3 linked regions of the Caenorhabditis elegans genome follow. The protein of the gene in region 3 purifies or fractionates together with the protein of the main gene of each other region. This does not show direct contact. Each region holds a gene or a part of one and is shown on either strand. Other genes may lie near its edges.

Evidence for each region.
Region 1: the proteins of Y54E10A.11 (region 3) and herc-1 fractionate together in Caenorhabditis elegans (co-fractionation; one large-scale study listed by BioGRID). This does not show direct contact.
Region 2: the proteins of Y54E10A.11 (region 3) and rep-1 fractionate together in Caenorhabditis elegans (co-fractionation; one large-scale study listed by BioGRID). This does not show direct contact.

What each region holds. Positions count from the first base shown.
Region 1 is NC_003279.8:1,208,504-1,215,187, forward strand, and holds the start of herc-1 (HECT domain-containing protein), read left to right. Parts: upstream 1-2,981; 5' UTR 2,982-2,991; coding exon 2,992-3,085; intron 3,086-4,070; coding exon 4,071-4,270; intron 4,271-5,283; coding exon 5,284-5,476; intron 5,477-6,460; exon of another isoform or gene 6,461-6,541; coding exon of another isoform or gene 6,542-6,620; exon of another isoform or gene 6,621-6,667; coding exon of another isoform or gene 6,668-6,683; intron 6,684-6,684. Other genes in the region: nsun-2 (tRNA (cytosine(34)-C(5))-methyltransferase), read left to right, coding at 72-191, 2,359-2,502; Y48G8AL.16 (Fungus-induced protein 1), read right to left, coding at 6,542-6,620.
Region 2 is NC_003281.10:1,567,310-1,577,008, reverse strand, and holds rep-1 (Rab proteins geranylgeranyltransferase component A 1), read right to left. Parts: upstream 6,704-9,699; 5' UTR 6,686-6,703; coding exon 6,570-6,685; intron 5,586-6,569; coding exon 5,516-5,585; intron 5,466-5,515; coding exon 5,235-5,465; intron 4,457-5,234; coding exon 4,305-4,456; intron 4,210-4,304; coding exon 4,002-4,209; intron 3,263-4,001; coding exon 3,084-3,262; intron 2,783-3,083; coding exon 2,623-2,782; intron 2,062-2,622; coding exon 1,965-2,061; intron 1,916-1,964; coding exon 1,838-1,915; intron 1,677-1,837; exon of another isoform or gene 1,604-1,676; intron 1,580-1,603; exon of another isoform or gene 1,507-1,579; intron 1,235-1,506; exon of another isoform or gene 1,159-1,234; intron 1,138-1,158; exon of another isoform or gene 1,065-1,137; intron 929-1,064; coding exon 801-928; intron 584-800; coding exon 470-583; 3' UTR 371-469; downstream 1-370. Other genes in the region: Y22D7AL.7 (Talin_middle domain-containing protein), read right to left, coding at 131-253; Y67D2.2 (Ubiquitin carboxyl-terminal hydrolase), read right to left, coding at 7,158-7,253. UniProt on the Caenorhabditis elegans protein: Substrate-binding subunit of the Rab geranylgeranyltransferase (GGTase) complex. Binds unprenylated Rab proteins and presents the substrate peptide to the catalytic component B and remains bound to it after the geranylgeranyl transfer reaction.
Region 3 is NC_003279.8:3,188,646-3,195,038, reverse strand, and holds the start of Y54E10A.11 (E3 ubiquitin-protein ligase listerin), read left to right. Parts: upstream 1-2,181; 5' UTR 2,182-2,342; coding exon 2,343-2,378; intron 2,379-2,427; coding exon 2,428-2,514; intron 2,515-4,268; coding exon 4,269-4,830; intron 4,831-6,393. Other genes in the region: syp-5 (PH domain-containing protein), read left to right, coding at 1-215, 1,201-1,274, 1,324-1,380. UniProt on the Caenorhabditis elegans protein: E3 ubiquitin-protein ligase. Component of the ribosome quality control complex (RQC), a ribosome-associated complex that mediates ubiquitination and extraction of incompletely synthesized nascent chains for proteasomal degradation.

The sequences.
Region 1 (6,684 bases), 2.0 Mb from region 3:
TTTTTCGAATTTTTAGCTATGAAAAAATGAAAAAAATTATCTAAAAAAATCAATTTTCAACAATTTTTCAGGTCGGCTATCACACAATTGCACCATACATCTCAAAAGAGGAACGACTTCATTTATTGAGAATGATGGGAGTGGATTGTGCTGAAATTGAGCTTTTGATGAAGAGCAAACGAAAGGAGAAGGTGAGCAAAAGCGATGAATTTCGAAAAATATTATCAAAAAATTGGGAAAATCTAAAAAATTTAAAAAAAAATGCTAAAAATTTGAGTTTTTCGACTGAAAATTTCAGCATTTTCGAACAATTTTCAAATTTTTCCAAAAAAAAAAAAAATTTTTTTTGAGAATTTTACTATAAAACTTTTAAAAATTATTTTTAAATTATTTTTATAGTTATTTTTTTGACTTCCCGCCCAAAAAAAGACGTAATTTGGTCATTTTTGAGCTTTTTCGCCTTTTTTTTCGCTGAAAAATATCTAAAAAATTTTTAATTTCATTTTAAAAAATTCTGTGTAGAAAAATTAATAATTTGAACATTGAAAAAAAAACGTAATTTTAAAAATTTAACTCAACTTTTTTGGAAGTTGTCTTTTTTTTTGCACATGAAAATAGTCAAAATTTAGAAAAAAAATTAACAATTTTCTTTTTTTTTCAATCGGCAAACCGGCAAATTGCCGAAAATTAAGGATTCCAGCAAATCGGCAAATTGCCAAAATTTAAAATTTCTGCAAATTGCCAGAATTTTAAATTTCCGGCAAATCGACAAATTGCGAGAAATTAGAATTTTCGGCAAATCAGCAAACTGGCAAATTGCCAGAAATTAGAATTTTCGGCAAATCGGCAAGCCGGCAAATTGCCAGAAATTAGAATTTTCGGCAAATCAACAAACTGACAAATTGCCAGAAATTAAAATCTCCGGCAAATCGGCAAATTGCCAGAAATTAAAATTTTCGGCAAATCAACAAACCGGCAAATTGCCAGAAATTAGAATTTCCGGCAAATCAGCAAACTGACAAATTGCCAGAAATTAAAATCTCCGGCAAATCGGCAAATTGCCAGAAATTAGAATTTTCGGCAAATCAGCAAACCGGCAAATTGCCAGAAATTAGAATTTTCGGCAAATCGGCAAGCCGGCAAATTTCCAGAAATTAGAATTTTCGGCAAATCGGCAAGCCGGCAAATTTCCAGAAATTAGAATTTTCGGCAAATCAACAAACTGACAAATTGCCAGAAATTAAAATCTCCGGCAAATCAGCAAATTGCCAGAAATTAAAATCTCCGGCAAATCGGCAAGTTGCCAGAAATTAAAATTTCCGGCAAACCGAAAAATTGCCAGAAATTAAAATTTCCGGCAAATCAGCAAATTGCCAGATAGTAGAATTTCCGGCAAATCAGCAAACCGGCAAATTGCCAGAAATTAGAATTTCCGGCAAATCGGCAAGCCGGCAAATTGCCAGAAATTAGAATTTCCGGCAAATCAGCAAACCGGCAAATTGCCAGAAATTAGAATTTCCGGCAAATCAGCAAACCGGCAAATTGCCAGAAATTAGAATTTTCGGCAAATCGGCAAGCCGGCAAATTGCCAGAAATTAGAATTTTCGGCAAATCAACAAACTGACAAATTGCCAGAAATTAAAATCTCCGGCAAATCAGCAAATTGCCAGAAATTAGAATTTTCGGCAAATCAGCAAACCGGCAAATTGCCAGAAATTAGAATTTCCGGCAAATCAGCAAACTGACAAATTGCCAGAAATTAAAATCTCCGGCAAATCGGCAAATTGCCAGAAATTAGAATTTTCGGCAAATCAGCAAACCGGCAAATTGCCAGAAATTAGAATTTTCGGCAAATCGGCAAGCCGGCAAATTTCCAGAAATTAGAATTTTCGGCAAATCGGCAAGCCGGCAAATTTCCAGAAATTAGAATTTTCGGCAAATCAACAAACTGACAAATTGCCAGAAATTAAAATCTCCGGCAAATTGGCAAATTGCCAGAAATTAAAATTTCCGGCAAATCGGCAAACCGCCAGATTGCCAGAAATCAAATTTTCTGCAAATTGCCAGAATTTTAATTTTCCGGCAAATCGGCAAATTGCGAGAAATTAGAATTTCCGGCAAATCAGCAAACTGGCAAATTGCCAGAAATTAGAATTTTCGGCAAATCAGCAAACCGGCGAATTGCCAGAAATTAGAATTTCCGGAAAATTGTTATTTTTAGAAAAATAGGATAATTTGAAAATTGAAGAAAAAAAACTAATAAAAAAGTTTAACTAAATTTTTTTGGAAGTTTTCACAAATTGTTAGTAATTTCATGAGAAATAAGTTAAATTTTTGTCCAAAAAATCAATTTTTCAGGCCGCCCAAGACCGTGAAGCCGCGTGGGCTCGCAAGGAAGAAGCCGCAAAGGCTGCGGAGCCGTCCAGCAGCTCAACTGATGCTCCAGAATCTGCTGAAACTCTGGAAATTCCAGAAGAAAATGTTCAAGAAATGACTGAATAATTTGTTTTTTTTTTGTTATCTCTTTTTTCTCCTTTAATTTATCTCCATTTATCCCCTACACAGTTATAAATTCTGCTACGTGGCCGTGTGGAAAAAACTCGGCCACCGATTTTTTTTTGTTCCCTCACGTGGTGCCAAAGTGTTTCATTTCTGTTTGATCTACAAAAAATGCGGGAATTTTTCCCCAAAAAACTGTGACGTCAGCACGTTTTTAATCGTGCAAAATCAGTTGAGAACTCTGCGTCTCAACTCCCGCATTTTTTGTAGATCTAGGTAGATCAAACCGAAATGAGACATTCTGTCACAACGTGTTCCCTTTATTGTTGTTGCAGTTGTTATTTGATTTTTTTTTTTGAAAAAATTTGAATTTTTTTTTCAGATTTTTTCCTCTGATACTGCTTCAAAAACTAAAGTTGTTGAGATCACACTATGATATTTTCTAGATTGTTTTTTTAAAATTTAATTGTTAAAAAAATCAGATTTCAGAAAATGCGAGCTGAGCTGCTCGGATGTGGACACACGGGCGAGGGACAGCTCGGCGTTCGGCTCTCCGAGTCGACGATTCAAGTTCCCGAGAGAATTAGTACGGAGCTATTTTTGTTGCAGAAATTAGAAAACAGAAAAAAAAATTAATTCCGAAATTAAATTTTAAAAATTAAAAAATTTCGGATGAAAAAAAAACAATTGGAAGATTTTTGTAAATCTTTCACAAAACTTTAAAAAAAACTTTTTTAAAGAAATAATGGCAAACCGACATTTTGCCGGAAATGGAAGATTCCGGCAAACCGGCAAAAAGCCAGAAATTAAAATTTTCTGCATATCGACAATTTGCCTAAAATGAAAATTTCCGGCAAATCGGCAATATGCCTAAAATGAAAATTTCCGGCAAATCGGCAATTTGCCTAAAATGAAAGGTTCCGGAAATCGGCAATTTTCCTAAAATGAAAGGTTCCGGCAAATCGGCAATTTTCCTAAAATGAAAGATTCCGGCAAATCGGCAAGTTGTCAAAAATGATAGATTCCGGCAAATCGGCAAAAAGCCAGAAATTAAAATTTTCTGCAAATCCACAATTTGCCTAAAATTAAAATTTCCGGAAATCGGCAATTTGCCGAAAATGAGAGATTCCGGCAAATCGGCAATTTGTCAAAAATGATAGATTCCGGCAAATCGGCAAAAAGCCAGAAATTAAAATTTCCGGCAAATCGGCAATTTGCCGAAAATGATAGATTCCGGCAAACCGGCAAAAAGCCAGAACTTAAAATTTCCGGAAATCGGCAATTTGCCGAAAATGAGAGATTCCGGCAAATCGGCAATTTTTCAAAAATGATAGATTCCGGCAAATCGGCAAAAAGCCAGAAATTAAAATTTCCGGCAAATCGGCAATTTGCCTAAAATGAAAATTTCCAGCAAATCGGCAATTTGCCTAACGAAAAAAAATTGATTACTTTGGAGCAAAATTGTATGCATCTTTAAAAAACTCTTTTTTTTTGAATATTTGTTTAAAAACTGTGTGAAAATAGTTTAAAATCGTCTCGGAATTTTCTCTGAAAATTGTTCAAAATTTCAGTTGGCGCTCCAAATGATATGGATGGAACCGCAGTGACGTCAGTCACGTGTGGTGAACAACATACAGTATTCCTGACAAAAGATGGCAAAATGTGGAGTGTTGGTAGTAATATGGATGGACAATTGGGACGAGGCAGTCGGACTGAGGGTTCTTTTTCGATTTATCCGGTTTCTTGGACAAGCAGTGCGAAAATTATTCAGGTAACTTTGAGTTTTTTTTTTGGCGAAAATCCATTAGAAAATGATTTTACCATATTTTTTCGCTAAATAACATTTGAAAAATAAAAAATTTTTCGTTTTTCCCTAGTTTTTGGCGAGAAAATCCCGTAGATCTCATTTTTGTAAACTCTTTTTCCGTGGAATCCCCTTTTCTTAGATTTCCATCTCGCAGATCCTCTTCCCATAGTTCCCATTTGCGTAAATTCTCTTCTCGTAGATCCCCGTTTCGTAGATCTCCGTCTTGTTGATCCCCTTCTCGTAGAATAGCAAATTTCTAGATCCTCTTCTCCCAGATACTCTTTTGGTAGATTCACTTCTCGTAAATCTCCTTCTCATAGAATTAATTTTGGTTCCCGTTTCGTAGATCTCTGTTTCGTGCAAGCTCCCTTCTCGAAGATTCCTTTGCCGTAGATCTTCTTTTCGTAGATCACCCTTCTCGCAGCTCTCTTTTTTGTAAATTCTCTTTTCATAGATCTGCCTTCCATAGACTTCCCTTCTCGGAGATCTCCTTTACGCAGAACGACGTTTTGTAGATCCTTTTCCATAGATTCTCCTCTCGTAGAATGGCTAATTCCTAGATCCTCTTCTCCCAGATCCCTTTTTTTGTAGATTCTCTTCTCGTAGATCTCCGTTTCGTAGATGCTCTTTTTTGTACATATATTTTCCATAGATCCCTTTTTGCCTTTAATGTAGATTTTTTCCATAATTACCCTCTCCGTAGATCTCCTTCTCGTAGATCCCATTTCCGTAGAATTCCCCCTTTCGTAGATCCCATTTTCAAAGATAGCCTTTCCGTATAATCTCCCTTTCGTAGATTCGATTTTCGAAAATAATAATCTCGCAGATCCCCTTCTCATAGATCCCCATCTGGTTGATCACCTTCTCGTAGATGCTTTTTTCATAAATTCCCTTACTTCAGATCCATTTTCCGTGGATCTCCTTTTCGCAGAGCCAATTTCCATAGATCGCCTTCTCGTAGAAATTCCATTTTTCAGATCTCTGCTGGCCGTTCTCACACAGTCTCCGTAACCGACGATGGGCGTGTCTTCGCTTGGGGCTCCAATGAGCACGGACAACTCGGAATGGAGAGTAAATTCACGTGGCAGGGAACACCACGACGTGTTCAAGAGATTAATGATATTGTACAAGTGGCGTCTGGATCCAATCATTGTATTGCGTTGGATGAAGGTAGAAATTTGGAAATTTGTGAAAAAATTCAAATTTTTGCTGGAAAAGTCCAAAAAGTATCTCAAAAACCTGAAAAATTGAAAAATTTAGTAAGGGGATATGGTCGGGGTACTGTAGTAGTACTGTAGGGGTACTGTAGGAGTACGGTAGGATTACTGTAGTTTAGGGAAATTTGACTTTTTCTCTTTTGAATGGATATTGGTTTGGGGTTAGTGGGGGGGATATGGTCGGGGTACTGTAGTAGTACTGTAGGGGTACTGTAGGAGTACTGTAGTAGTACTGTAGGATTACTGTAGTTTAGGAAAAATAAACTTTTCGTCTTTTGAAGGAATATTTGTTTTCGAATAATTTGCAAAAACGGAAAGCTGGATTTTTTTGAAAATAAAAAATAAAAATGTAATCCCGCTTCAACGCCAAAAGAAAAGTTGGGTCTCGTTAGGAATTGGCGGCGAAATTTTTTGCTAATTTTTGCTAATTTTGAAGCATTTTTTGTTGCTTTTAATAATTTTTGTACCAACGACGACCAAAAAATCATGGAAATCCAGAGAAAAACCGATCAATTCTGAATTGAAATTTGAATTGCCGCGCTCATTTTTCAAATTTTCCACGCTTATGAAAATGGTTTGAATCAGGGGAAAAATTCAATTTCAGCTACTACTTTTCTTGATTTTAGCGAATTTTTCTCGCTTTTATTTATATATTTTCATAAGTTTCAGTACCTGAACTATTCACGTGGTGCCAGGCTGTCCCATTGCGGTTTGATCTACAAAAAATGCGGGATTTTTTACCAAAGAAAATGTGACGTCATCACGTTCTTAGCCATGCGAAATCAGTTGAGAACTCTGCGTCTCTTCTATCGCATTTTTGTAGATCTGCGTAGATCAAGCCGAAATGAGACTTTAGGAATTGTTAAATTTTTTTGTTGATATTTCGAATTTTCAAAGAATCTTGATTAAATATTTACTTTTTGTTTTGAAATTTTCCTTTAGAAAAAAAAACAATTTATTTAAATAGTCATCGTAAATATACACACACACTTATATCCTTCTTTTAAATCGCTTCTTCTTAACGTCCTCCGACTGGGTAGGCTCCTCCGGCTGGGGCTCCGTATGATGGAGCTGGAGCAGCGTAGGCAGTATGCTGGCTGTATGGAAAACAGGGGTGTGCGGAGGAGATAACCGATTTTTTCGGCTAACGGCTAATTCGGC
Region 2 (9,699 bases), on a different chromosome or scaffold from region 3:
ATTTATGTTTTTTATAGCGGAGATTTCGAATTTTTACTTAAAATCTATGGAAATCTGCCTAGAAATGGATTTTTTCGTAAAAACCTCGGGGTTTCGAAGTTTTTTCTTAAATTTTTTGTAGAAATCTCACCTTTAAGTCCTCCCTCAGTCCTTTCGCTATCTCCATCTGCCATTTTTCCGCAAATTTTGGCTCGGCGAGCAAAAACTTGATGGCTTGTTGGGACGCCAATTCTAACACTACTTCTTCGTCCATTTTTGCTTAAAATGAGGGGGTTTTGGGCTGAAATGATTAAAAATGTTCAAAAAGTAAGTAAAAAAATAGGCTGGAAACCCAGAAAAAATCGATAAAATCAATGAAAAATGGTTAAATATTCTTCAAATATTTACAAAAAATGCACAAAAAAGTGAAATATCGCCAAAAAAAACGGGAGTCTGGGGGTAATTTTACATGGAAAACTCGAATTTTCAATTAATTTTCTGCAATTTCTTCAGTTTCCGGCTCTTCCTCTTCTTCCTCCTCTTTTTTCATGGCTCTTGGCAAAAAGTCGAGCTCGGGCCAAGTTGTGCAGAATAGTTGGCGGCACTGGAAAAAATGGATATATAGCAGGTGTTTAAAATTCAGAAAAATCGATAAAAATTGAATTCAAAAAAATTTTCGAAAAAAAAAATTTTCTGAAAAATTTTTCAAAAAAATTTTTTTTTTTTAATTTTTATATTTTTTCGAAATTTTTTTTTCTAATTTGAATTTCTAATTCAATTTCAGCTCAAAAATCCAATTTTCATCGTTCTTTCGCCCTAACCTCCTCCACCACACTAGCATAGTGTAAATTCGCATCAACTGGCGGCGCGACGACGACATTTTCGGCTCCGGCGGTGTCGAATTTCATGGAATTCGCGGTGAAGCTCATCTTCCAGTAGGGTTCCACTTCTGAAATGCAGAAAAAATATCGATTTTTCTAGGAAAAATCGAAAAACTCAAAAATATTAAAGAAAAACCGGGTTCCAAGCCAATTTTCGCGAATTTTAAGTGAAAAATTCGAAATCTCCGCCCTGAAAAACCTAAATACTCCCACGGGGACTCGAACCCCGGACCTTTTGCTCCGAAGTCAAGCCTGTTAGCCACTGCGCCACCGGTGCGCCGAACCAGCGGCGCGTGATGCAACGCGTGGCGCAGTGGCTAAGCGGCTCGCCTTTGGAGCAAAAGGTCCGGGGTTCGATTCTCCGTGGGGGTGTATAGGTTTTTTATAGCGGAGAATTCGAATTTTTCACTTAAAATTGGGGAAAATTCACTTGGAAATAATTTTTCTCAAAATTTCACTGAATCCTTGCTGAGATTTCAACTCTTGGAGTCTCTATTTTAGAACTTTGAAGCTTAACATATATTAATAGTTCAAAAAAATGGATTTTGTATCATTTTCGAGCGAAAATTTCAGGAAACTAGGTTGTAACTCAATTTTTGCGAATTTTAAGTTAAAAATTCGAAATGTTCGCTATGAAAAACCTATACACCACTGCGGGGACTCGAACCCCGGGACCATTTGCTCCGAAGTCAAGCCTGTTAGCCACTGCGCCACGGGGTGCAACATGCATCACTGGTTAGCTGCAACGCGTGGCGCAGTGGCTAAGCGGCTCGCCTTTGGAGCAAAAGGTCCAGGGTTCGATTCCCCGTGGGGATATATAGGTTTTTTATAGCGGAGAATTCGAATTTTTCACCTAAAATTAGGGAAAATTCACTTGGAAATGACTTTTCCATGAAAGTTTCTCAAATTTTAAGCGAAAAATAGGTTTTCGGTAGTGGAAATTCAAAATTTCCCCCTAAAAATTCCGCGAAAATCACCATTTTTTTCAAAAATCTTCTCTGCAATAGTCTTGACACTTGTTTCTCCTTCTTGGGTACCCGTTGCATGCACCAGAACTGCAAAAAAAAAATCTTTATTTTTCTAGGAAAAAACGTGGGGGCTTACAGTGTCCTTTCGGAGCCGTACAGGCTTCAAAGCCCACTTCAACAAGCCGTGAGACTGCGGCGTCGGGCCGGAGAGATGCCAGATTGAGGAGGGTTAGCTGAAAATTTTTTCGGATTTTTAATACGAAATTCGAAATCCCCGCAAAATTTCACTCTAGAATTATTTTTTCCCAGGCTTCTAGCTCAATTTTGAAATTTTCGGGGTTACTGTAGCGCCAAAAGTACGCGATGCCCCCGTGGTGTTTGCGTACCTGACACCGAATTTTACGAAATTGAACCCAAATTGGCTTAAATTTCAGTTACGGGGTAAATTGGCAACGGGGAATTCGAATTTTGCATTGAAAATCAACTAGGAGCACTGGTTTCTCGAGTAAAATTAAATTTTTCTCGAAAACCAGTTGACCAAGGTGGTTTTCAATGCGAAATTCGAATTTCCCGTTGCCAATTCACCCCGGAACATGATTTTCAGCCAATTTAAGCTCAATTTCGTAAAATTCGGTCTCAGGTACGCAAGCACCGAGGTCAACGTACTTTTGGCGCTACAGTAACCCCAAAAATTGTAACATTGAGCTAGAAGCCCGGGGAAATTGAATTCTAGAGTGGAATTTTGCGGGAAAATCGAATTTCCTGGTGGAAAACTCCAAAAAATGCTCCGGAACCTGTTCTTTCTCGGCTTCTTTAATCGATTTATCCGTCGCATAGACGATTCTCTCGATTTTCAGCGTACTACTAGCTGGAACAGTTTCGGGGACAAATCTCGGGGACATCACGATGTAGCGACAATTTACACGATCTCCATTGGCAATTACAGCCGTAATTCTGGAAATTTTTGAGAAAATTGGTTTTCCGACAAATTGAAAATTTGGGCATAGCTTCCGCATCTCCGAGTGACAAATGTGCTCTATTGTCAAATTGTTGGCAGAAATACGGTATTTATTCACATTTTCAGCACAATTTAAGGCTGAAAATGTGAATAAAAACAGTTTTTATGCCATCAATCTGGGTAGAAACACATGAGTCACGGAATATTGTATAAAACTAGTTTTGCTGGGAATTTGACTTGAAAATTAGGTCAAATTTCGCAGAAACTATTGATTTTTCGCTTATTCTCTTCACTAACTTTCCATCTTTTTTCACGATAGCCTGTACAGGCCGTCCCAGACAATATAAGCTCCCAAAGACTGCTGCCAGCCGGCAAAAGCACTGTGAGAGCTCTCCACATCCGTAGAGTGGGAAGAGGAATGGCGATGGACCGAAATGGCCGACAGAATCCATGAACTGGCATGATGCCAACATTCCCTGGAATTTGGAAAAATTTTAAATTTTGAAAAAAATTTTTTTTTTTTTTTGAAAATTTGTTTTTCTCAAAATTTTTTTCAATTTCAAATTTGACATGAAAATCAACTCGAAATTCGAATTCTCCACATCACCAGCTTCCAAATGACACCCATCATGCCCATGATCCATCGATTTTGAAAATTTTGGGTCCCGCCACGAGGGGTACTGTAGCACCGGTTTCAGCTGTGTCGGAGCGCAAACTGCACGGAAAATGGGCATGATGGGGGTCATTGTAAAGCTGAAAGCGTTAGAGATTTGAATTTTTCAAAAATTTTTAGCAAAATAGACAAAATCAACATTTTTTCGAAAAAAAAAATAATTTTTTGCTCAAATTTTTTTCAATTATAAATTTCTTTTCAAATCGACTCAAAACTCGAATCCTCCACATCATCATCTTTCTAAAGACCCCCATACTGCCCGGGTTCCGATGATTTTGAAAATTCGGGTCTCGCCACGCGGGGTACTGTAGCACCGGTTTCAGCTGTGTCGAGACTGCCAAAACTCAAAATCAACGGACCCCGGGCATGTTGGGGGTCATTTTGAAGCTGAGAGTGGCGAGAATTCAAATTTTTCAATAATATTTTGAAAAAAATTGAAGTAAATTTCGTGCAAAAAAAAAAATTTTGGATTTTTTTTTCATTTTCAATTTTTTTAGAAATTCAGATTTTTTTCTAAAAAACAGTAATTTCCGCATATTCACCGTCATCGCAGTGGGTCTTTGCTGTAAAATGCCGATCGTATTAATAATAAAGCTCTGCAGGGTCTTTCCAACGCCCATTTGCTCCAAAAACTCTGAAAACGGGCGGTCGGCGTGCTCGGCGAGCAGTTTTCTGCCTTCTTCCGTGTCTTTTGTGCTCCATTGTGTGCAGAATGTGATGAATTTCATAAGAGCTCGCTTTTCCAGGATTCTGGAAGAATTTTTGGAGATTTATCATTGCGAATCGATTTTTTTGGCAAAGAAAATCGATATTTTATCGATTTTCAGCCTAAAAAAATCCCTTACGACAAAGCATTGCTCTGAAAAATCTCTCCTTTGCTACATGGCACCGGATTTAGGGTAATTCCGGCTTCTGGGGTCTCTGTTGGGCATAGCTGCCGGTTGACAAGCTTAAACTCGGCATAATGGGATACTTGGGAGTCACAGAGTGTTTGAACCTGAAAAAATTCAAAAAATTGGAAGAAAATCGTTTTTTTTTTCCAAATTTTTTTCAAGATTTTCAAAATTTTCCCATAAATTTTTGTCAAACTTTTCAATATCTGAAAATAATGCGGAAATTCGAATTTTTCGACGCTCTCAGCTTTCGAATGACCCCCAACATGCCCCGGCTCCGTTGATTTTGACTTTTGGAAGTTTTGACACAGCTGAAGCCGGTGCTACAGTAACCCGCGTGGCGAGACCCAAAAAAATCAAATTGCATGGAACCAGGGCATGATGGGGGTCATTTTGAAGCTGGTGATGTGAAGATCTCGGAAAAAATGTTAATTTTTGAATATTCTGAAAATTGACAATTTTTTGGAAAATATTTTTCAATTTTTTTAAATTTTCGATATTTCAGAAAACTAGCAAATAATTCGAATTCTCCACTTTATCAGCTTTCAAATGACCCCCAACATGTCCGTGGTCCGTTGATTTTGAATTTTGGCAGTCTCGACACAGCTGAAATCGATGCTACAGTAACCCGCGTGGCGAGACCCAAAATTTTCAAAGCGGTCGGAACCTGGGCATGTTGGGTGTCATTAGACAGCTGGTGGCGTAGAGAATTCGAATTTCAGAGTTTTAAATGAGGAAATTGAATTTTTAGAAAAATTTTTCTTTTTTTTCAGAAAAAAAGTTTCAAAAAAAATTTTTTTTTTGGCAAAAATTGATTTTTTGATGACTATTAGGGCAAAACATCAAGTTCTCCAATTTAGGTGTAATTTTGCAATTTTGTACCATTGCTCCCTTGGAAAGTAGAATTTTCGGCACTAAATCGATGGAAAATCGCCGCATTTGTGAAGCCTCTTCCAGTTGCGTTTTCATCGGCTTTTCCTCGTCTTTTCCACGTGGAATCCACGTCATTTCAATGTTTTCCACGATTTCTCGATTGCCGAGCTCAATGAGCTGCTCATTTTCAGTCAAAAGCTCTGATAACTTGGAAATCTCCGAGGAATCCAGCTTTTTTACCTGAAAATTCGGAAATTTTGGGGTTTTTCTGGCTGAAAATCAATAAAAACCTGATTTTCAGTCACTTCATGAACCATCGACATTGTGAATGATGACCAATCACCGCCGTAGTACTCATTTCTGCAAAAATATTTTTTATTTCGAATTTTTCAAGAAATCGAGTATGAAATTCGAATTCCAGACGTTATCAGCTTTCAAATGACCCCCAACACGCCTAGGTTCCGTGCATTTTGACAACCGACACAGCTGAAATCGGTGCTACAGTAACCCGCGTGGCGGGACCCAAAATTCTCAAAGTAGGCGGAATATGGGCATGATGGGGGTCATTTGAAAGCTGGTAACGTGAAGATTTCAGAAAGAATTCTGATTTTTTAAATTTCTGAAAATTGAAAAATGTTTTGGCAAATATATATTTTTTTTTCTTAAAATTTGTTTAATTTTCGATATTTCCGAAAACGAACAATTAATCTGATTTCTCAACGTTATTAGCTTTCAAATGAGCCCCAACACGCCTAGGTTCGGTGTATTTTGACAATCGACACAGCTGAAATCGGTGCTACAGTAACCCGTGACGGGACCCAAAAAAATCAAAATCAATGGAATATGGACATGGTGGGGGGTTATTTTAAAGCTAGTGACGTGGAGAACTCGAATATGATATCAGTTGGCTGACATTTTTCGAAAATTGGAAACTTTTGACGTTTTCCGAAAAATTTTCCACAAACTTGGTCAGAAAATTTTTACTTTCTGATTTTTCCCGAAAATTAATGTGATATTTGAATTCATCAGGTTCTCAGCTTCAAAATGACCCCCATCATGCCCAGAATCCGTTTATTTTGGGTCCCGCCGCGAAAAACTACAGTAACCCGAGGAGTTTTCGTGGCGGGACCCGAAAACTTCAAAACCAGCGGAATATAGGCAATTTGGGGATCAAATTGAAGCTGGCGACGTGGAGAATTCGAATTTTGCTGTATTTTTGAGGAAAAGTTATGATTAAAAAAAAAATTTAGCCGAAAATAATTTTTTTTTCGCAAAAATTTTTTTTTTTTCAATTTCATTCATTCATTTTTTTAAACTTTTTTTAAATGTTAGTTCGCCTATTACCTATCTAAATGAAGCACAGATAAGCCAGCTCGAGCACAAGCTGAAGCCAGAATGGCTTCAGGTAGTCCGGTGCCCAGCACCACTACGTCCACTGATTCTGGCAACTTTTCGTCCATTTTTTAGAGCTGGAAAAGCTGGAAATAGTTTGAATTTTTGGAAAATAAGAGATGTCATGCTTAAATTTGAAAAATTGAAAAAAACCAAAAAAAAAAAAAATTTTTTTGAAAATTTTCCAAAAAAAATTTTTTTTTCTATTAAAATATTTGATTTACGGCTGAAAACCTTTAAAAATTAACTAAAAAAAGTGGAAAAAACACGAAAAATCTTCATTTTCACACACACACACAAAACTTAACAAAAATGGCACGGGACGGGGGGAAGAGTTATAATATTTTTTTCAAATTTTCTGAATTTTTGCACAAAAAATAAACTTTAAAGGAAATGCTACACGTTGTGTCATTAAAATGTTAAAATTTACAACAAAAAATAAGGGGAATCTAGCAACAAAATAAATCAATTGTTTGGGAAAAAAATTGCGAAATTTCCAAAAAAAAAATTTTCTCAAAAAAATCAATAAAAATCCAGAAATTACATCCTTTCGTAGAGTCGATGAGGTTTGACACGTTCGTAGAATAGCATATAACTTTGACAGGCTGCCACGTGGGAGTACGGTACACGGGTTACCTGAAAAATTATACAAGTTTTCGGGGGAAAAATGAAAATTTGGGCATAGCTTCCGCATCTCCGAGTGACAAATGTGCTCTATTGTCAAATTGTTGGCAGAAATACGGTATTTATTCACATTTTCGGCCAATTTAAGACTGAAACTGTGAATAAATACAGTTTTTATGCCACCAATACGAGTAGAAGCACATGGGTCACGAGAAAATGTTTAGGAAGGGAATATTTAGGAAATTCTGTGAATTTTAATAATATGTCGTTTTTGTGACAAAGGCTCTTCGTTGACTGGAAATTCAAATTTTCTGAGAAAAATAAATTCGAGAAAATTCTGGAATGTTCCAAAACTTTCTAGAGAAATCGGGAAAATTCTGAAGTGTTCAATTTCGTGGAAAATTTCAGGAACCTGCAAATTTCTAGAACCTTTCGGAAAGTTCAAAAAAAAAAACTTCTTCAAGTTTTGATACTCCTAGAATATTCTGAAGTTTCAATAATTTGAAAAAAAAAGATCAAAATTGTTATAATTTCCAGAAACGCTCGCCAAAAACTCTCGGAAAGGACCGGAAAAAAGTTTTATATGATTTGAAAAACGTTTTTTTTTAGTTGTAAACACTCAGCTATATAATATTTATGTTGCTCGAAAACTTCCGGAAAACAGAAAAAAAACGTTCCATCTACAGAGAAAGGCTTAGAAATTTTAGAATTTGATTTCAATTTTGAGTACGCCAGTCGGAGCACGCGCTTCAGCGCGTTCGAACGGCTGGTATATATATATTAGGTCTCCAAATAAGTTCCGGGTCAAAAATCATAACTTTGTTCGCTGCGTATCGATTTTTATGAAACTTTGGGAATTTACGTTATCAACCATGATCTTTCACTTGACAATAGTCACGAAAGTTTTTGACCACCCCAAGTGTCCTAACGCGGAGCCAATTTTTTCAGGCATTTTTCTGATCTCGCTTCTTTTCAGTTTTCAATTGAGCTTTGTGTGCGGATTTTGCTTTGTTTAGATTATTAGAAAACAACAGAAGTTTGGAAAAAAATCCGCCCAAAAAAAAATTTTTTTGGTTGGTCGTCAAAAAATGTTCAAAATAATTTTTGTCGAAAATTCTAGATTTTTCCTACAAAAATGATGTAACCAAGTGTAAACTATTTTTCGACATACAAAACATATCAACTTAGTTCGATACACTAAAATGATAGTAGAAAATACAATTTTTTCGGATAATTTTTTAGTTTTTTGAATATTTCTTGAGATTCAAATTTTTAACTCAAATGATTTATATGTGTAAAAATAGTTTACACTTGGTTACATCATTTTTGTAGGAAAAATCAAGAATTTTCGACAAAAAAAAATTTTTTGGGCGGATTTTTTTCCAAACTTTTGTTGTTTTCTAATAATGTATTCTAAACAAAGCAAAATCCGCACACAAAGCTCAATTGAAAACTGAAAAGAACCGAGATCAGAAAAATGCCTGAAAAAATTGGCTCCGAGTTAGGACACTTGGGGTGGTCAAAAAATTTTGTGACTATTGTCAAATGAAAGATCATGGTTGATAACATAAATTCCCAAAGTTTCATAAAAATTGATACACAGCGAACAAAGTTATCAATTTTGACCCGGAACTTATTTGGAGACCTAATATATATAATTTACTATATATAAAGCGCTTATTCCGTTTGTCCATAGTTTGTAGTCTATGTAGTCTTTGTAGTCTGCGAAGTTTTAGCTTCTGGAGGGATAGTGAGTTGGGGTTAGTGTAGGGATATAGTCGGGGTACTGTAGTAGTGGTACAATGGTGGTACGGTAGGAGTACTGTATGATTACGGTAGTTTCAGAAACATTGGTTTTCAGCAACAGAAGTCGGGGGCCGCGCCGGAGGTGCGGTCCACGGCTGGTATATAAATACATATATATATATATATATATATATATATATATATATATAAGCATTTGATCGCTAGAAAGCTTAAAGTTTCGAATATTAAAGTGAAATATAAAATTTTGGCGCGAAATTTTGGTGATTGAAATCTGCGGTCGTAATGCAAATCCACATAGAATGCGCTCTATGAGCAGCTGGGAGAATATATAAATACGTAGTGAGAGAGGAGATTGGGTAACCTGATGACAAGGGGGAGGGGGTGGTAATTACATATATGAGCACACACACACACACACACACACACACACACACACACACACACACACACACACACAAATATGTGCTCATTTGGGAAGGGTAGGCAGCAGGGGTGTGCGGATAACCGATTTTTTCGGCTAACGGATAAATCGGCTAATGCCGATTTTTTGAGAACCGGCTAACGGCTAATTTCAAAATTTTCGGCTAACGGCTAACGGCTAATTCGGCTAATCTCAGTCATTCAAATCGACTAATTTTCGGCTAATTCGGCTAATTCGGAAAATATTCATTTGGTTAAGCTTTTTTTGTCC
Region 3 (6,393 bases):
CTCATTCGACGACGGAACCACTCAGGATGAATCTGGAGTTAACGCGTTTTTCGGACAATTATCTGATGAGAAAGAGGAATCTCCGACGGCTGTCGAGTTCTCAATGGCTGCACATTTGACAGAATTTAGTCAACGACAGGCGGCTGCTGCGGCCAAGATGAACATGAAAACACCGGAGAAGAAGGTTGTGGAGATTGAAAGTGACGAGGATGATGGTGCGAATTTTGGAAATCTTTTGAAAAACCCACGAAAATTGTTGTTTCAGTTTTAAAATCCAAATTTTTTATATCAAAAATTGCCATAAATGTGTAGAAAAATGTTCGTTTAATCTGTAAATTTTCATTATTTTTTATGGAAAAGTTCGAAAAATGGCCTTTTTTGAGGTATTCTACGTATTTCACTAAAAAAACTAAAAAACACTAAAAAAAATATTATTTTCATCTAAAAAAAATATTATTTTCAGATTAAACGAACACTTTTCCACATTTTTATGTAATTTTCAAGAAAATCTGAAAACCCAATTTTTTAAATCAAAAATTGGCATAAAACGGTAGAAAATATTTGTTCAATCTGAAAATAATATCGTTTTTTTTTTGCGGAAAAGCTCGAAAAATGCCCTTGGTCAGGTATTTTTTTTTTAAAAATCGAAAAATCTAGAAAAAAGTAGAAAAGCCTCTAGATTTATCAAAAATATGTTGATTTTGATGAGAAAAACGAAGAATTGGTCATCAAAATATTGATTTTCATTTGAAACATAATTTATCAGATTTTCAGGAATTTTTCCGAAAAAAAATTTAAAGTAATTTTCAATTTTTACGGAAAAATGTGTAAAAATGATGAAAACCCATTAAAATTGCTAGAAAATCGAAATTTGCTTGGGAATTCAAAAATAAATCGGCTTTTTTTTGTTGTGAAATTGGAAAAAAATCTTTCTAAAATTTATTTTAAATAATTGTGAAACTTTTGCAACAAATATTATCGTTTCGGTAATTTCTGGCTATTTTAATTGAAAAAAGTCAAATTATCGATTTTTAAGGCAATTTTAGGGTTTCTTTCACACAAAACGAAGCAAAAAACTTTTTTGAAAGAATGAGAAATGGCTGAAAATGCGATTTAAAAAAAAAAAAATCGGAAAACTAAAATTTTAAATATTTTTACGCTCATTTTTGGGTGGAAATTCTATAAAATACCGATTTTCAGATCTCGACAGCAGTATTATTGCTCCGAACAGAGCCAAATCAAAGGATGACAGGAAAAGTGATGATAGTGACGATGTTAGTTTTATATTAATTTTTTTAATCGAATAAAATGAAAAAATTTCAGGATCTGAACGACGAGGAGGGTGATGCGGATCAAAGTATCTGGGGAAGCGACGATTAGAAACGATTATTTTTTTTTATTGCAACCAGTAAATATAATTATTTTAAATGTGATTTATAATTTTGTGTCATTCGGTTTTGTTTTATACCCACACCTTTTTTAAAAAAATATCTGAAATTGTTTCTTATTCGATTTTATTTTCTTTGGTTTTTTAAAATTACTTTTTTTTGGTTCTATTTCGATCCAAATTCATTTATTTTATTTTTTTGGAAAATTGGAAAAAAAACTGAAAAGAGCCCATTTTTTGAATTGCTGCTTTCTTCCTAGTTTCGACGTTTTCCTGTTATTTTAATTGATTTTCCTCTTTTATTATATGTAATTTGAAACATAATTTATCACATTTTCAGGAATTTTTTCCGTAAAAAAGTTACAAAAAATAACGTTAAATTATCGAATTTTACAGAAAAATGTCTGTAAAAATGTGAGAAAAACCAATAAAAATATCTGAAAAATGCCGAAATTTGCGCGGGAATTCAAAAATAAATGGATTTTTCTGTGCAAAATTGAAAAAAAATTAATAAATATGACTATGGCAATTTTTTCATTAAAAAAAAATTCCAATTTGAAACATGATTTGTCACATTTTCAGGCATTTTTCCGCAAAAAAGTTGAGAAATTATCGATTTTTAAGCCAATTTTAGAATTTCTTTCACACAAAATGTTAAAAAAAAAAAAAACAAAATTTCGAATTATAAAACAAAAAAACGCAAAAAACCAATAAAAAATAGCTGGAAAATGTCAAATTTGTTGAAAAATTGAAAAAATAATTTCAAAAAATTTAGATAAATTCTACAATTTTAGGAAAACCCATTTTCCTGCAATTTACCATCTAAAAAGCTCACAGAGACACACTACACTCCACCTTTAAAAGCAAACGCGCTCCACCGAACAACTCCCAATTTTTTCCATTTTTATTAGGAAATACTGGATAATATTGTGCGTCTCTCTCGAACGGCTAAAAAATGAGTAAGCAGCAACGGCGAAAAGGAAATGCAAAGGTTAGTTTTTCATTCCTTGGCTAAAATGAAGATGAAACGAGTTGTTCAGAATGCGAGCAGTGCGGCGGCTCACGAGTATTTGGCTCAAGGAGGAGCCACGTTTGTCGGGTTGACGCCTGAGATGAATATTTTCGAGGTGAGAGGCTATTTGGATTTTTTTAAGTGAAAAAATAAAAAATTCCCAATATTTTTCCTTTATTAAACCTTTATTTCCGCTGAAAAATTAGGGAAAATGCTCAAAAACTACTTTTTTTTTGCCATTTTTGAGCAGTTTTTCAAACTTTTCGGCAGAAATATATGTTATTTTCAGAAAAATGAAGTAATTTTTAATGAAAAATTATTTTTAAAAAAAGCTTTAAAAAAAGTCCATTTTGATTTTTTTAATTAAAAAAGTAATGAAATTCCCAATATTTTTCCTTTGTTTTTAACCTTTATTTCCGCTGAAAAGTTTGGGAAAATACTCAAAAATTAGATTTTTTGCCATTTTTTAGCACTTTTTCAAACTTTTCGCCGGAAATAAAGCAAATTTTCATATTTTGACACTAATTTTAAATGAAAAATGTTAGAAAAACCGATCAAAAGAGCAGTGCCGCACAGAAAAAGAGGCGGAGCGTAATTTTGCAATCCTGCGGCACGGTTTCCACTTTTAAATTAAAATTTCGATTTCACTTGTTTTATTGGCACCTGAGATGAATATTTTCGAGGTGAGAGGCTATTTTGATTTGGAAAATCAAAAAAATTTAAAAAAATTCCCAAGATTTTTCATAAAATAACATTTATTTCCGCTGAAAAGTTTTGAAAAATGCTCAAAAAATTTTTTTTGCCATTTTTGAGCACTTTTCGGCGGAAATAAGTGTTATTTTCTGAAAAATCAAGTGATTTTTGATAAAAAATGTTAGAAAAAACTATCAAAAAAGCAGGCGCCGCACAGAAATAGAGGCGGAGCGTAATTTTGCAACCCTGCGGCACGTTTTCCACTTTTAAATTAAAATTTCGATTTTTACCTGTTTTCTTTTCTTTTCTTTTTTCTAATAAAAATATTATCCAATTTAATCCTCATATTACGTATACATCTGCAAAAGTCGCCATATCTTACGCGCAAGATATCCCGCAGGGAAGAGACAAAATTACTGTATTTGTGTCGATTTACGGGCCGGGTTGGCATCATTTTTTGAATTTAATTTTTTTTTAAATTTCGAGTAGCAATTTTTCATCTTCAAGCGTTTTTATGTTAAAAATTCAATTATTTAATTGAAAAATCCATAAAGATGAGAAAAAAAACGAAAAATATCTGAAATTTGAAAATTGCTGCTCGAAATTTAAAAAAGCAGTAATTTTCAACTTTCAGATACTTTTCGTTTTTTTCCTCATTTTTATGGATTTTTCAAATAAATAATTGAATTTTTAACATAAAACGCTTGAAAATGAAAAATCGCTGATCGAAATTGAAAAAAATTAAGTTCGAAAAATGCAGCCAGAGCGGTCCGTAAATCGACACGAATACAGTAACTTCGTTTCTTCCCCGCGGGATATCTTGCGCGTAAGATATGACGATTTTTTGTAGATGGATAAGTAATATCAGAATTAAATAGGATAATATTTTTATTCGAAAAAAGAGAATAAAACAGGTAGAAATCGAAATTTTTATTTAAAAGTTGAAAAACCGTGCCGCAGAGTTGCAAAATCACGCCCCGCCTCTTTTTCTGTGCGGGGCTGATTTTTTTCTAACATTTTTCATTAAAAATTAGTGCCAAAATATGAAAATTTGCTTTTTTTTTCCGCCGAAACGTGCTCAAAAATGGCAAAAAAAATGCTTTTTTCCGAACGTGTCAGCGGAAATAAATGTTATTTTCAGAAAAAAAAATTGAATTGCATTATAATTTTTTCCAGGTGGCCAGCAGCAATCGACTCCATCAAGTAGTGGAAATCGACGACGAAACTCGGATTGTCATGAAAAAATTGACGAAAAAAGACTGTCAGACGAGAGAAAAGGGGCTCAAAGAGCTTATGGAACTGATAAACACGGAAAATAGTTCGATCGAGAGCTCCTATGAGCATTTCTGTGGACTCGTCGCCCAGTTGACCACAGATGGAAGCCCAACTGTGAGAATGCTCACGATGAAAGTGATTTCTCAGTTTTTGACAAAGTTAAAGAAATCTGCGAGTAAAGGATTGAAGAAAATCATTCCTTTCGTTCTTTTTGCAAAGTCTGATGTTACGAATGGAGTCGCTGCGGCTGCTTCTGCAGTTATTCGAGATGGATTTGATGCGGATAAGAAGCGACAAGTTGTGGAGCTCTTTGTGCCGAATACCTTTGATTTGGCAGCGAAAATTGCGGAGGGAAAGCATGAACTCTCGCTGCCAGCGGAATATGATGCTTCGGAGGATCTGGAAACGCGGAAAATGAGACTGGAGACGCAATCTTTGAATACATTCCTATCTTATATTAAAGGTGGAGTAGAGTCAGAAAATATATGTTTTGAAGGTGGAGCACCGAAATTTGAGACTTTGCTTTTTAGACCCAAAATTGGTCCAAAACTACCGAATTTCGTAATGAGACGTTCTGAAAATTTCTCAAAAAAAGTTACGGCGGTTCAAAGTTCTGCAAAATAAGGCCCATTTTCAGCTAAAATCAAATTTTTGCCAACTTCTCTGTGTCTCAGCGTCTGGAACTTAATTTTTATTTATTCATCACTTTTTAATAAATATTACGGTTTTTTATTAGCCGTTTATTCGTTGATTTTTAGTACATTTATTGTCAGTGGAGCACAAAATGTAACTTTAAAAAAAAATGCAACTTTGCGCCCCACTGACCATAAATGCACTGAAAATCAACGAATAAACGGCTAATAAAAAACCGCAATATTTATTAAAAAGTGATGAATATATAAAAATTAAGTTCCAGACGCTGCAACACCGAAAAGTTGGCAAACATTTTGATCTTAGCTGAAAATTAGCTTTTTTTTTCAAAAATTTGAACCGCCGTAACTTCTTTTTTGAGAAATTTTCAAAACGTCTCATTACGAAATTCGGTAGTTTTGGACCAATTTTGGTCTAAAAAAGCAAAGTCTTAAATTTCGGTACTCCACCCTTTAAATGATGAAAAAAAAAGACCCTAATGACCGAAAATGAATGTAAAAAAATTTGAGGCACCACGTTTTTAAAGGTGGAGCACCGAAAAATCTGGGAAATATTTTTAATCGACTCCACATTTTCCCTATTCCGAATATCTATGTGAAAAAATCGAAAAAAAAATCCGAGATTTTATATTTAAGCTTGAAATCACGATTTTCATTTGCGCACGTGCGCAAACCATGAGATTTTTCAAATTCGCTCCCAAATAAATTCGCATTGGAGCGCGCTTGCATCGTTTGATTTTCTTAGTTTTTTTAAAAATTTTTTTTCGTCGAATTCAATTTTTTTCAAAAGTTTCATTCATTTTTTGTCGAAAAAAAAGTTTTATCGGTTTTCTGAAAAAAAAAAATTTTTTCGTCAAAAATGAATAACACTGGTTAAAAAAAATTGAATTCGACGAAAATAATTTTTTTTAAAAACGAAGAAAATCAAACGATGCAAGCGCGCTCCAATGCGAATTTATTTTGGCGCGTATTTGAAAAAAGAGACCGGGGCACAAATGAAATTCTGCGATTTCAAGCTTAAATATAAAATTAGGGAAATTTTTTTTTTTTGATTTTTTCACATCGAAATTTGGAATTAGGGGCGAATTTGGAGTCAATTAAAAATTATTTCCCAGATTTCGGTAGATCTACATTTTTAGGATGTCTGGCACCGTGCCAACTGCGGTTTTCGCAGTTTTTCGAATAAATCGAAATAACGATGCTCCGATATTACGCATCACGCGTTGTTTATCGTTTTCCAGAAGTTTTTATTTCAAAAAAGCAATTTCTGAACGCTAAACAACGCGCGAGATACGTAATATCGGAGCATCGTTGTTTCGTTTTTCTACGAGAAAACTGCGAAAACCGCAGTTGGCACGGTGCTAGGCATCCTGAAA